Oryzias latipes: one gene and its partner. The protein of the gene in region 1 purifies or fractionates together with the protein of each later gene. This does not show direct contact. Links are inferred from orthologs where the notes say so. Each region holds a gene or a part of one and is shown in the gene's direction. Other genes may lie near its edges.

Region 1 (7,580 bases):
TGTGTTGAGGCTTTGTGGCTGAAGGTTGTGCGACCTGGAGGGGCCCTGCGTGTCCCAAACAGCCGGGGATTGTGGGGAGTTGCAGGCCATGGGGTCGCTGGAGCTGGGGCTGTGCTCCGGTGGAAGCTCGCCGTTTTTCATGATCTTCTTCATTTTTGATCTTCTGTTCTGGAACCAAATTTTCACCTTGGAAATGCAAACATAAGCAAACAAACAAATAAAAAACAAAAACAAAAAAAGAAGAAGAAAGACAATTAGTATTTTGGCACATGGAGCTCCAAAAAGGCGCACGATGCGTAAAAACGCACACATCATGGACAAAAAAACAAACAAAAAACACAATTTCTAATTTAAAACGCCCATACTTTAGAGATTTCTTTTAACAAATAAATCAATCACCTGTGTTTGAGTAAGTCCCAGCGACGCAGCCAGCTCGGCTCTTTCCGGCAATGCCAGGTACTGCGTGTTCTGGAACCTCCTCTGCAGGGCGGCCAGTTGGAAGCTGGAGTAAATTGTTCGGGGTTTTCTCACTTTCTTCGGTTTGCCGTTCACCATCCTCACCTCTGGTTCACTAATCTCCTTTTCTGCTAAAGCAATTTAAAAAAAAAAAGCATGAGCGTCAGTCAATTTGCCAAGTTATTTTGTAAAAAAAAAAAAAAAAAAAAGCTTTTATGTGGATTAGGATGCTCCAAATTAATCCAAAAATAAAAACATATTTGAAAAGGGTAGCCTGTTTTTTTAGAATCTTTTTTCAATAAAAATAAGAAAGGATCAACAATGAAATCTCAAACGTTTATCAGTTTTTTGATAGAAATTCTGTCACAAAACGTGAAATTTTACCAAGCGTCAGTAAGGCGTTCGGGCCCGCACCTTGTGGACTTGGCTGGGGTTGTATTCTGTTGTAAGTCCCGGCATACTGGTGGTACGCGGGGGTCGTGTACGAACTGTAATCACTGTAAGACTTGGTGGAGTAATTTCCAGCAGATCCGTTGACACCCGGGTACTGGTACTGATAAGCGTTGAGAGACTTCCCGTATGAAGTGGAGCTGGGGGAGCAGTAGCCGTGAGCGACTCCACCGGCTGGACTGTAATAGCCAGAATCCGTGGCTGAGGACTCGGGTAGAGTAGGAGATTCCTGAGACGGATGATGCATGGCGGAGAGTTGAAAAGAGCTCTGGAAATCTGCAGGTTTCACACTCGGGATCCTCCGATCGAAAACTCCGGTCATGCTTAAGTGAGGCAAAATGTGAGTTCTTCTTCTTTTTTTCTTTGAATTAATAAAAAAAAGGCAATCAGGACTCTCCAAGACTACACTGTCATTGTGCTAAGAGGCTCTCAGGCCGACGGGCTCTGCTAAAGACTGCAACCAACCCTGCAGCAAAGACTTGGTTAAATCCTAAATCGCGCTCTTACGCACTGCAGGGAGGATCTGGTTCCATTGGCCAGGGTGCGCGCACACACAGCTACACCCAATGTCCTCAGCCAGCTTCCTTAAGAAGGGGGAAACCATACGGGTTCGGGTCTACATTGTTATGATTTTAATTCTTTCAATCAAGCAGAGCAATTAAAGTGTTGTAAATTCATCAGAGGTTATCAAAAATGCTCCTGCAGAAGATAAAACCGATTATGTTAACCGACTTTTATTGATGCATGTTATTTAAACAAACAAAACATTATTCTGTTCATTTATTCATAGTCAAATGCACTTATTTAGAATTTTTTCATTTTGTTTATCCTTAAAAAAAACAATACATGTTTGTTTTCTTTGTCTTTATTTAATAAAAACGTTTCACTGCTTAAATATTATTTTCCCGGAAGATTTTCTGAAAAATTAATATAGTCGAACCATTTATTCAACAAATAAACATAAATTTGCTGAACAAAAAAAATGTATTCTTAACGTTAAAATGAATAAGGCAGATCTATGGTCGGGCATTAACCCCCTTTCAGTGGTGAACAGCGCACACAAATGGAGAAACCCGGGTACTGCAATCTACTGATCACTAACAAAACAAAAACAAAAAAACCTTCTCATCATCTGACTTCTCTTTTCTGTGCGTGGGTAAAATACACTCACGGTTGTAACCCTTATAATCTACTGAAGCACGAACTCAAACGTCAAGTCACCGAGGGAGGGCGGCCTTCACTCACAGCAAGTACTGGTGCTATAATAACGCAATATACAAACATACAAGATGAAGAAACAAAAAAAATGGGAGAAATATATTGCTTTGCAGGGTTAAAGGAGACCTGTTGAATTTATACAATACTATTTTATTTTAGCTGCATTTGTATTGTAATGTTCTTAAATTTTTGCTTCAACGTCAATTCCAAAAAAAAAAAATTGCTTTTTACTAAGCTGTTCAAGGCCAACATTGTGATTCCAGCAAATGGTTTAGCTTTTTGTTAAAAGCAAGGCATGTAGTACATAGACCCTCATATTACAAACAAAAATGTTATTGTTAGGTCTATTTCTGTAAAGGGAAAACAGCCCTTTGTTTAGTATCTTTTTTAAATTCTTTTTTCTGTTTATTTTAAGTGTCCTAAATGCATTTGAAACAAAAAAAAAGAAAATTACAGAAATTTATCTAAATATTTCAAAACTCTTGTAATTTTATTATCTTGATTTTATTCTAGTTGTTTTCTTGTATGCGCATTTAAAACGTGTGCTTACCCTAACTTTGTTTATATATAAATAAATAACTTTGAAAAAACAAAACAAAGAAAAAAAATGTTCGTAGTAAAAAAAAAAAATCAGCTACAAATACCCCGGAAATACTTACCCATCTTTACTTATCTGTTTCCGGTTTATTCCCCCTTTTTTCCTTCTTTTTTTGCCTGTAGCAAAATGTAGCCTCTGTGCTTTTATAAAAAAAAAAAAGAATAAGTTAATAGTGACATATGTTTGGTAATTTGTCGTTCTTTAGACTGCAAATACAAATCGAAATTTTGAAGCAGAGAATTTGAATTGACCTCTGACGTCACTAAAGATCGACATACTCTAATTTAATCGACATGAATCTTTCGATCGCAGTTTCACAGATAATGTTATAACTCTCACTCATTCATGGTCATAATATGACTGGAAGTCGTTCACTCAGTTAAATAAATAATTGTTTTTAGTATAAATAAATAAACAAAAATAACAAAACACCAAAAATAACTTTAAGATATGTTTACTGATATTTACTGATCATACTTTAACTCTTTGAACTTACTATAAAAAGTTTCTGTTTTCTTTATATCTTTTTTTCTTACTCTTTATGTCTGTAAAGAAAGACTAACTGTCGGTAATTAGTCATATCTATGGATATAAAGGCATCAAAGAATCTTCGTCGACTTTTTTTCATTGCCTTGCTACGTTTATTTTGATAAATTTACCTCATGTGAAATGATCGCAGTAAAACACATTTTTAAACATATAACATTTACATAACCTGGAATTAGGTTTAATTGTGCGTTTTGTAGAGCCAAAGCAAAGAATGTCCCATGTTTGAGCTGGCCAATGCGGCTTAAAGCGGAAGTACACGGCAGGGAGTTCTCTTGGTCCGCGCTTCTGATTTCTGTTTACTCTCTGCTTCTCCCGTTTGTGTGGTAGGGGGATGGGGTCCTGCCGAGGATGAGCGACTCCAAATATTTACCACTGGGCTGACTAAAAAGCTTTATTTTTTACCTTAGTTTTCTCATTTTTTTATTGGGCGCATAGATACTTGTTGTCTACGCATGAGTTTGGCCACAGCTCCGCCTTTGTAAAGTGGAGCATCTGTACGTCCACAACAAACGCTACAAAAAGTCGACAAAATGTATCCTGCTGGAGGAGGTAAGCTACCGTTAGCATCGGCTAAAAGATGCGGCTTAAGAAAATGACAAAAACAGACGCGTTCTCTGCATTGTTGTAACACATGGCAACAACAGTTAGTGAAAAACCATTCAGTTTTGTTTTATTTGAAAAATTGTTAATAAATACCCACATATGTTGTGACAAAGAATCCTCACTCGCTCAACGAGCTTAGCTAAATTACAGCAACTGCTAGCCGGGTTAGCTTGCATGGCGCTTTGGTTTCCCACAAAAATTCTACTAATACCTTCGTGAATATATATATTTTTTAAGTTTAACAACCATTTAGCAAAGCACACGTTTGTTTGGGTAGTGATAAATAGAAAAAAATGTCTATTTATATTCGTCTCTATTAAAATTAACGTGATAACGGGTGGCCACGCCATGATCTGTTCCTCAATCTAACACTATACTTATTACACTTGATGTAAATTTAGATATAAAAATAACTATTTTATTTAACTGAAATGACACTGACGTTGTTGAACAAAAACGTTGCCATCGAAGGTTAAAATAACAGATCACTCAATCTTGTGTTTATCAAGTTCAAATTTATTTCATTAACCGTTTAGAACCAAGTATATATAATTGTTTGTATTTAACATTTTAATATTTAAAACGTATTACAAAGTGTTTGATTCTAACAAACCCAGTAGCCTCCTGGATCGTAATATTTTAAGTTTTAAGCTCCCAATTTGTTATAATAATACTTAAATATTTAGAGATGCTGCAGAAGATTCAGAATTTGTCACCAATCGTCGTTCATGTGCTTCTGGTAGTTTGGAGAGAGAAGGAATGAGGAAAAGAATGTAGATCTCGTCTAAATAAATGAGTTCTTATCAGAATAAAAGCTATTTGTCAAAGCTAAATGGTTGTTTTTTAATCATTAATTTTCTCATGTAGAAAACAAATATATCTAAATGTTTTTTTTGTTTACATAGTCAGGAGGGGGGAAAACCTATCAAGCTGGTAGATGAGCGAAGCTCATAGAACAGGTTTTTGGCGGTAAGCTAAAACTTTAGGAAAAAATGCTGCAGTGGGGGGCTATTTACAGGGGTTTGGGTGTCTTCTGTTGTGTGAGATTGCCAGCTTGTTTAATACCTTCTGTGTGTAAGTTGATAAGACTTCCTTGATTATGGGCTGTGGTACTGTAAAAGTGATAAGCAAGTGAGACCTCCTAAAATGAACCAAGTGAATTCTTTTGAATTTCACTGCAAAACATGATTATTGTTACTTTTGCAGTGGTGTTCATGACATTAATTAAGTACAGTTTCTAAAAAGGGACATTTTCACATCTCATAGGGTTTTGAACGTTCGTACTGCAAATGTTTTCTTTAGGCACTGAAGTATTATCTCTCCATAAATAAAGTCAAATGCTTCTCCTACAAAAACTGTTTAGGGATTTGGGTTTAACAACATAATGCGTCAAATTGACACCAAAAAGGCAAGGCTATACAAGATACTCCTGTTTTGATAATAACTTTACAGGTACTGATCACTAGACCAGTGTTTTTCAAGCTTTTTTGAGCCACGGCACACGTTAACCTTGACAAAAATCCCGCGGCACACCAGCATCCAAAAAAAAAAGGAGAAACTCATAGTCAGTATTGATCTATAGCCCCTCCGCTATCTCACATGCATTTTTATGATAATTGTGGCAGAAAAAGCAGGAAGTTGCAGCTTCTAAAAGATGTAATAAAAGTTAAGTTACAAGATTTAAAAACTGTTTGTGTGTTCGTTGTGGTTTTCAAGACGTGTAACAGGTAAGACTCATTGTACGCTGAGATGCTGTCACTTTAACCCAATGGATCATGGGAGATGTAGTGCAAATAGCCGCCGAACCCAGACAGACTAGCGTCTCTGAGCTTCATAGTTTTGCTCACTTGTTCCACGGTCTGATACCGGATTCTGTGGAAAGCTACACTGATAAAGACGAGATTTAGCTGGTATTTTTTGTTAGAACTGAGCAACTTTATGAGCAGAATTGGAACAAGGAAGTGAAGCCTTTAACCACTTTTGATTGGTCAGACTGATGACGTGTGATTGAGCCTCCAAGAATGATTGGTGGAGACAGTTAAAGGGGCGGGACTTTTCCTAAAACAGCTTTAGCTGCAGCTAAATCGCGATACCGTTATTCTTATCAAAATGTCTTAATTAAATAAACACAAAGAAAAAAGTATTATATGATCTTTCATATTCCTAACTACTCAGTGTTTTATCAGGGCCTGTCTGGATGAACCCAGAGCTGATATCCTGGAGATGGGAAATGTTTTTAGATCAGTTAATGGGGGCAATTTCCCAGCACACTGGTTGAAAAACACGGCACTAGACAACACTCCTAGAATCCACCTCGGGAAAAAAACAGGACAGTGTTCTTTTCTAAATGTTCTAAAAGGCATTTATTTTGTGTTTCTTTTGAGCATTTAACATATTTTTGTGACACTGTCTGGTGTACGAGAGCTTTTAAAGTTTATGATTGACCTGTTGTTGGCCGTTTTTTGATTTGGTATGCAACGTCAAGCTCCCATTTCCTCTGGAGTCTTATGGTCACAAAATGTTTACATGCATGCAGATGCAAGCCGTTGCTTGTTCCTGCTTTCAAACTGGTTCTTGCAAACTTACCTCAGGGCCGTAAAGCACATTTTCACTTTGTGTGTGTAGTAATAATGTTGTTTCAACTGTTGCGTTTTTTGTTGTTGTTGTTGTTGTTGTTTTTTGTAGAGCCCCCATCTTCCCCAGTGCCAGAATATGTGTTCAAGCCGCCATCACGGCCAGACTTTGGCACCATGGGCAGGACAATCAAGCTCCAGGCCAATTTCTTTGAGATGGAAATCCCAAAATTGGAGGTTTACCATTACGACATAGACATCAAACCTGAAAAATGCCCCAGAAGGGTGAATCGGTGAGTTCAAAGTCTGCTTTTTTTTAAACTCTCATCAGAATTGTGTGTAATTTTATGGGGATTGTCTTGACTCGCCTAATTTGTCTGCAGAGAAATTGTGGAGCACATGGTCCAGCACTTTAAAACTCAGATCTTTGGGGACCGGAAGCCGGTGTACGACGGGCGAAAGAACCTCTACACTGCCATGGCTTTGCCCATAGGCAGAGAAAAGGTTTGTTGTTTACATTATAGTTGAAACGATTTCCTCTCAATGTTAAAATGTCTCAGCAGTGGCATTTTGTATGAACCATGTAGGTGGAGCTGGAGGTGACTATTCCAGGCGAAGGCAAAGACCGCAGTTTTAAAGTTGCCATCAAATGGGTGTCTTGCGTTAGCCTGCAAGCTCTGCACGAAGCTCTGTCAGGGCGGCTTCCCAGTGTTCCCTTTGAGACTATCCAAGCCTTGGATGTGGTCATGAGACATTTGCCTTCTATGAGGTAGGTCTCTAATTGTTGTTGGAAGGATCGCCATTTCCTGTTTTGGTCTAGCTCTCTTATGTGGCCAAATGATGCCTAAGCAGTGCACAGCCGCTGCCTGTTTCCTCATGGAATTAGTTAAGATTATCACTTCTTGATTAGGATTAAACAAGATGCCACAAGCACACTACAGGAAAGTCAGCTGAATATATCAAATCTGAATTTAGTTTTTTTAAATAATGTGCCATGAGTTTGTGTTCAAGACCCAATCTGATGAAACTGGTGTTTTTAACATTTTCTGATGATTGAGAAAATGTATAAATAATAGTAAGCTCAAATGGGGGAGGAGCAGGTGGCAGGAGAGCCTGAAAACAGAGAGCTCTCA
Region 2 (7,634 bases), on another chromosome or scaffold:
CAGAGAGTAGGTCTGGTCCTGGTTGTGTTTGTGGCTGGAGAACAGAATGTTTTTGAGTTCCTGAGGCAGAGGGGCGCCAACTCTCTGACCTGACGCCGCTGGGTTCTGCTCATGCCAGAGGATCTCCACGTCCAGAGGGTAGTAGTTCTCTGCTGTGCAAACAACCTTCTGCTCCTTTCCCTCCTCCAGCACCAAAGTTGGACCCACATTCAGGGAGACCCGGGGAGGCTCTGGTGAGTCCAGAGTGACTTAGAATCACTTTAGGAAGTTGACATTTCTATGTTTACAACAGAACAAGTATGGAGCCTGTGACCTGATATGGGTTAAAAAAAAATTGTTCCCTTGAAATAATTAATTTGTTCCTACAAAAGATTAATTCATGTGTTAGGTCATTCATAAATACGGATGGCTTGCTGCTTGTCCATGTCATATTCTGTTATACATTTATCCTGTTGTTTTTGAATGCACCTTAGTTACAGTGACAGGTTGATTGGTCAAAATGCATTATGGGATATGTGTGATGCACGTATTCCATTTTACAAGCAAACGAGCTCCACGGCCAGAGCTCTTTTGCTTGTCATACCGGAATCTGGGCAGCTGGCTGGCCGGTGTAGGTACCATAACCGTTCGGCCTGCAATAACCGTTCGGGGTCCTTTCGACTGAGGATAACATCACACTACGGTATCCCCACTTGGACAAACTACATAGCGCGGAGATCTGCTCGGGCTCTACATATTTTCATTTCACATTTCCTTTTGTAACCCAAAGTTATTTTCCCTCATAAGTTGTGTCTGACATTATTCTTTGCAGTGTTTATGGAGAGATTTTGCCACAACCCACTTTGTAAAAAGATCTGTGGCTGTTAGAATGAACCTGCTGTTCCACGCTAGAGAACCGTATCTCTGATTGGAGCAACTGGAGTCTCGTAGCTTCGTGTTCGCAGGCAGGGAATATGATTTGTTATAGTGTTCGGTCCGGAGAAGGCTTCGGACCGCAGTCCGTTCGGCTGCAAATGCACTTAATAAGAATCTTAACAATAATAAAAGAACATTTAGAAGATAATCTCACTCCATGTCAGAGCTCTGTTTGTTTACAATGGACCGCATAATATCTTCTTCTATTGTAGTTTTAATTATCCGATACGTCAACGGACAGCCAATCCCATAATGTGACGTCAGCACTAGTCGAAGGACCCCGAACGGTTGTTGCAGGCCGAATGCTTATGGTACCTACACCGGCAGACGGAGAGCCGCTGTGGTAGGGGGAAGAAGTCAGCTCGGGCCTTCGATATTCGATATTTTTCTTATTTTCATCGAGACAATAATATATAGATCCCCTAGTTTGATTCTTGTTTTTATTTTTCTGCATGATATGAGTAAAACTCGCGATATTAGCGATCAATATTGCGATGACGCTATAACTTGAGAAACATGAAAGAAAATAGCAAAACGACCAAAAACATAATTTCCATTACACTGCAACAGTTTAATGGAAGAAAGAGTCAACATAATTTAAATTATACTCCAAATGACCCTCGTCTACATAAGGAGGCAAATATCTAACATGAAAGAGCTCCATCCGATTGGTCAAATGCATAAATAGATTTATTTGATTCGCTAAATAGTTCAAACTGCCATAAGATTGTTTTTGCAAATTTAAGGTAACCGCTTATTGCTGTCTTTTGCGATAAGCATATTGCACAGCTTGATATTGCGATAACGCTAAATTTGCGATTTATTGCACAGGCCCAGAACAAATTAATGATTTCGTGGGAACACGTTTCTTTTGTTTTTACCCATCTCAGGTCACACGTATACAACTCCTAATTTTAAATAAGGGTTAATTTAATTTGAATTGTTGAAAGTTTAAGAGACTTTCTTTCAAAATAAAAGCTTTTCTTTTTCCAGCAGCAACAAAACACTCAGTACAGATAAGAACCCTCAGCAAATGATGCAATAACAGCAACTCCAGACCTTTTCTGAAAAGGTCACATTTGGAAGCATTTGTGTTTTTTTTTTTTTACTTCCCACATAAAAAACAGTAAAACAAAACAAAACAAAACAAAAGTCAGATGTGACACAAATCCCAGAAATAAACTCAAACACTGTTTTCTTCTAGCCTTAAGAGGCTGAAGAAGAGGAACAGATGTTTTCAGCTGGATCACCAACACTGTAGCAGTGCGACCGCTGATGGTAAAAGAAGAGGACAGATTACAGGTTTTAGATCATCTCCTCACCCTCGACGTGCAGGTTGAGCTCCATGTTGGCGAAAAGCGGGTTCACAGTCAAAGAACAAATGTAGCTTCCTTCGCTGCTCATCTTGGTGAAGGGGAGAGTGTAGGAGGCATCTCCCCCAGCCAGGGCCTTCTTCCCAACTCCAGAGCCATGAATCTCCCCGGAGCGGCTGTTGTAGCGGAAGAGCATCCTTCTCTCTCCGCGGGACTGCCAGTGCCACTCCACGGTGACGTTTGGGCCTCGGTGGTCGATGCTGAACTGACAGTGGAGTTTGGGCTGCGAGCGTAGTCTGACTTTCACAGATGGAGTCTCTGTTTTCAGCAACATGGCGACTATGGACACAAATAGGATGAACCCTCTTACAGGCCTTCGTTCTGACATGCAGAAGCAGCGTCAGATGAAGGGGACACCTACCTGTGGTGGTAAGAACCTCTCGGTCGGCGATGGGCGGCCAGCTGCGGTAGTCCTGCTGTCCTGGAGGAGGTTGGTCAGACGGATGTCTGAGGAAAGCAGTGACGCTGAACTTGTCCTTTCTGTGTCTGAGGATGCAGGTGTACCAGCGGTTGTACCCCTCTGCCCCCAGGGCGGGCCAGCGGACATGGATGCCCTCTGTGCTGTACCGTCGGACCTCACACTCCAACTCCTCTACCTCCACCCCTTCAATGGACCGCTGCAGGTCCAGTTTTGAAACTAAAGCAACATAAAAAGTCATGAATGTAATTCTTTCCTGCCCCGATTCGTGTCTTGGACAGAAGCTCACCAGTGATCAGGAAGGTGATGGCGTGGGGATTGACAGGAGCGTCTCCTTTTAGACCAAACTGAACCATAGCCTCTCTGGGAATGAGCTGTGTCTCAATGTGTCCTTCACTGTTGTTGGACACATGTTCGTCAGTGAACTGACATGACAGCCATGGTATCTGCTGAACGCTCCTCACAACTGAGAACACAGAAAAACTAACATTAAACACACCCTTCATTTAAATTTAGTTCCTTTCATGAACTAACTGATAGAACAGCTGCAAACATACTTTAAAATAACTTACCTCCAATCACATAAAAGTAAATAACAACTTTCTGAAATACTCCCATTTTGATTATTCAATTGAATTTCTTGGTTCACCTTGTTTCTACCAGCAGCCAGGATCTAAAAAGTACTTTCATTTTCACTTCTGCAGAAAAAAAACGATTTGCCTTTAGCTCGCGTCACATGACCTACAAGATTAAAACCATAACAAAAAAAAAACATTTTTATATATATTCATAAACACAATAACAAATGAAATGACGTTTAAATCTGATGTAAAATATTTAAATCTCGCTCCGAAGAAAAACGTTAAAACTGCAGTACCGAATTTATCCGGGTGCGTCGCTGTGAACAAACATCCGGTATATGCGTCGCATGGCGGAAGCGTGTTTGCGGCTGCGCAGTTCTGCTGTGGATGTTTTTAGTTGGATTATGTTGTTTCAGAAATCTAACTTTAAACTTCGGAAACCGTGAACGTAACGGCGCGTTTAGAGAGTTTCCAGGTAAACGGATTACACTGGTATTTACCTGCACGCAACAATTATCACGGTGATAATGGACAAAGGTAAAATAGCTTTTATTTTTACTCTCTCTGTAGACCAGTTAAGTCACTGACTTTAAGTTAAAATAAATTCTTACAAAAGAAAATATTATTTAATAAAGAAAAGCAATGTTTTTTAATTTAAATTGTTTTTCCAACACACGACGCATTCATACCGATTTACACACGCGGTGAACCGCTTTGAATTGTGGGAAACTGAGTTTGGTGTGGTAAAATGAATGACATATGGATCCCCTGAAGGGATTTGGCAAAAGGTGAATAACAACAAGATCTACACTGATCCTGACATAAAGACGAACGCACACAAACACTCACACATTAAACACAATAAAAACTATATGGCTCTGTCCATGAAAACTGAGTTATTTATTGGAGATCATATCTGAAAGTTGAGAAGAAGCTTTGGTGTTTTTATCTGTGGATACGGTGGCCCTGAAGTTCAAATCACATCCACAAATTACTGTTTTAAAACATCACACAGCAGTCCTGGAATGCAAAAACAAAATTGTTTTTGCAATTCTTGTTTCTTACTGCATATTTGAATGAAAACTTGACACCCCACCCCACCCCCCGCTTTAATTTTGTTTAGATTTATCAAATGTAACGTTTTCTTGTTATTTTATTGCTTTTGTTGTTGTTATCTTTAAGATGTCTTTACATTGATATGATGATGTGATTGGCACTTCAGGGCTCTGATTATGTCATGTGATTTCAGGCTCTGCGGTTCTGCAGGGGGCTTTCCTGCTGGCAGACAAACTGTGTCGCCCCTCATTTCTATCCTGCGTGAACAAATCCGACTGGATCGCGGCGGGACGCCCGATCCTACAGGCTCTGCAGGAAGTCTGTGAACTGGAGGAAGCTGACGGTCATCACAGCTCGACCTGGACGAAGAAGGTGGTCTGTGCTGTGTGGCTGAAGCTCTTGAGCGCTGAGGAGGATGTTGAGAGAGCGTGGAGGGAGAACCCCTTTTTTTCCTTCCAGCAGAGCCTCCCTGAAGTTAACCATGTTGTCCTGTTGGAGTTGGTGAAGAACGCTGCTGCTTCACATGTTTACGCAGGTTTTCTCCTTCATCTTCCTGAAGATTTGATCTGCTTGGAGCTGAAGAGGCTGGTAGAGCATGTGAAGAGCGAGCCTACAAGCGAAGAGGATGTTCATTTCTTTCTAGAGATGTGGCGGGAGCTGTGGAAAGGCCAAGAGCAAGCCAAGCTCAGAAACGACGAGAGCATGGAGATGATGTTTGCCAAGCAGGTTGCTCGTCTCACCTCCATGTCTTCTAGTTTGTCTCCTCAGGCTGCCAAGAGGTTAAAGCTGGAGACACAAGACTCAGCAGAGGCTGATGTTTTCCACATTCTCCTCAATGCCCTCAAAGACATGGCAGATCACGTCTCCTCATTAGACCTGTGCTTCCAGTCTCTCTCCATGTCCCTTGATGCTCTTTTTACATCATTTCTGATAGACCGAGAAGTTGTTCTATCAGCTCAGGAGAAGATGGACATCCTGTGTAAAGCCATCAGTACTAAAGGAAAGAATGAAAAACTTCAACCTGAACTTGTTGAAGAAGCTCAGAGACATTTACGGGCTTCGATTTCCCCGTCTCAGTTCAAAGTCAGGAGGATGGATCTGGGTGAAGCTCTGAGGGTCATAGCAGAACTTAGTCAGTCTTGGAAAGACCGAGGACTCTTGGACGTCCAGGACGGCTCTCGCTCCTCCTACTCTGCTTTCCAGCTGGAGCAAAGTGTCCAGAGAGTCTCCACTGCTCTGGAAGAAGCTCCCACAGCAGCGACAGAGAAGAACCTGCTCGTGGCTGTGCTGAAGTCTCTGGTTCTTCCTGTCACAGAGAGCAGCCCTGAGGTGCATGCTCAGGTGCTCTCCACCATCATCACTCACCGCCTGGAAGACCACGAGAGCTTCGCTGCCTTGTTTGCCAGAGAGCCGCCCTGGACGCACTGTGATGAAGGCTGGATGGATTGCCTGGAGAGGAGCCAAGCTTCCTTCCGTCAGCATGACGCCGTGATCGGCCTCTCCTCTACTCTAATGAACAAACTACGCATGGAGAATGCAGACGTCAGCCAGTGCAGAAAGCTGATGAAAATCATAGCAGATATCTTCTCCAGCCTTTCCTTAGAAGACATGAACAAAGCCTTGGTGTCCATGTTAAGATTGTCTAGGAAGGGCTTCTTCGAATTCCCCGTTCCTCCTGAGGTGGCTGGAGGGTTTGAGCAGGAGCTCAACATGGCCTTCAACTGCATCATCCAAGCAGGAAGTGGAGCGTCCTCAGCTGTTCCTCAAGGGAACCTGACCACGGCCGTCTCACTCGTAGCCAGAGTGGCTTTTCAGAACCCAGAAGGCGCCTTACGGTCCTGCTGCCACTCAGCTGTTTTCAATAAAGGAGCATTTTCGATGATGGCAAAGATCCTGCAGCATCTGCCTGGACTCAGCGGTCAGAGAGGAGGAGATGGAGATGGAAGGAGGAGCGGAGAGGAGAACACGGCTAAAGACGGGACCTCTAGTCTGCTCTGCAGGTGCCTACACCAGACGGTCAAGGACAAGTCCCTGTCAGCCAACGAGAAGGAACAGTTTGCCAAATTCCTCGGTCTGCTGATGGGTCCAAACGTGGACGAGGGAAAGGAACAAAGCTTCCTGTCACCTCAGGAGGTTATAAACACCTTCGTCCTCCCTAACCTTTCATCTGTAGGTGAGGATCCTTTACAATGTTCCTGACATTTGAAGAAGACTCTTAAGAATCTTTTATTCTGAAATTTGGTGTCAGAATCATCAGTTTGAACTGTTAGAAGTGGTGCAACGTTCATGAGCTCCTCATCTGTTATAGCCTCTAATGACTAAGTCGTTTTATTTTTGTACACTTTGATTTATCAGAATTCAACATTTTACATAATACGTCACATGTTCTTCATCCGTTCTCCACATCTGCTCAGGTTCCTCCTCTGTGGATGCAGAGTTGAGTCTGCAGCTTCTTCACACAGCTTTGTCCTTGGATGTGCAGCCAGGAGCCTCCAGCTCTCACTGGCTGATGGACTGTTCTCCTTTTCCCCTCCTTTTTGTTCTCGCTCAGATCCACGACCAAAACCTCAGGTGTTTGTTGGGATAAGATTTCGTTGAGTCTTCCTTGGAGTTCTCCTGTAATTCGTCTGCTTTCTGCCAGGTTTTGGGAGGAACCGCCAAAAGGTGGCGTCCGCCTCTGCTCTGTGGACACCAAGGAGCTTCTGGTGTCTGTGATGACCACAGTGGGGCAAGTGGTGGGTGCAGAAGTGGCAGCCGCCCCCAGTAGCTGGTCCAGAGCCCTCTTCTGGCTCTACAACAAACTGGAGGAGTTGGACTGGACGGTTCGGTTCCACCTGAAGCCGTTGTGGGGGCAGCACTTTAAAAACGAGGTGCCCTCATCTCTGCTGGATGTGTGCGATCTGCCTGAGCAGGTGAGAACTCCTGCAGCCCAAGTCCCAGTCCATTGAACGGCAAAGGCCTAAAGTGGGACACGGACACAGAACCAAAAACCCACCGACACAAGTTGGTGTCTCGATTAAAAAGGGTTATCCCTTCATCAAGTGAATCCTTGCTAAAAAAGACTGTTTTGCTGTTTAAATAAAAAAAAACATAATCAAGACTCTTTTATAAACAAAGCTGTAGACACGTACATCCATAGGGGGTTTGATCCATCGCCGCTGCATCTTCAAACTCATTTGTACAACATGCCTGCTTCTCAACTCCTTCACCCTTACTGACCCTTACGTGTTGTCGGTGTTCACTACGACCCGTCGCCTGCAGCATGCCCGTAGAAAAATGTGCATGAACTTT

The links.
Region 2: the proteins of protein argonaute-2 (region 1) and gemin4 purify together in Homo sapiens (affinity purification with western blotting; 4 studies listed by BioGRID and IntAct, with this or other methods). This does not show direct contact. The link is inferred for Oryzias latipes from reciprocal best matches to the Homo sapiens genes AGO2 and GEMIN4.

The regions. Positions count from the first base shown.
Region 1 is NC_019869.2:10,699,168-10,706,747, forward strand, and holds the start of protein argonaute-2, read left to right. Parts: upstream 1-3,545; 5' UTR 3,546-3,801; coding exon 3,802-3,820; intron 3,821-6,559; coding exon 6,560-6,740; intron 6,741-6,830; coding exon 6,831-6,951; intron 6,952-7,034; coding exon 7,035-7,216; intron 7,217-7,580. Other genes in the region: dlx5 (homeobox protein DLX-5), read right to left, coding at 1-186, 400-587, 841-1,228.
Region 2 is NC_019871.2:19,884,776-19,892,409, forward strand, and holds the start of gemin4 (gem-associated protein 4), read left to right. Parts: upstream 1-3,603; 5' UTR 3,604-3,674; coding exon 3,675-3,762; exon of another isoform or gene 3,763-3,814; coding exon of another isoform or gene 3,815-3,824; intron 3,825-4,536; coding exon 4,537-6,516; intron 6,517-6,757; coding exon 6,758-6,914; intron 6,915-6,984; coding exon 6,985-7,255; intron 7,256-7,634. Other genes in the region: tapasin-related protein, read right to left, coding at 1-230, 2,238-2,567, 2,650-2,925, 2,996-3,172, 3,279-3,324. UniProt on the Homo sapiens protein: The SMN complex catalyzes the assembly of small nuclear ribonucleoproteins (snRNPs), the building blocks of the spliceosome, and thereby plays an important role in the splicing of cellular pre-mRNAs.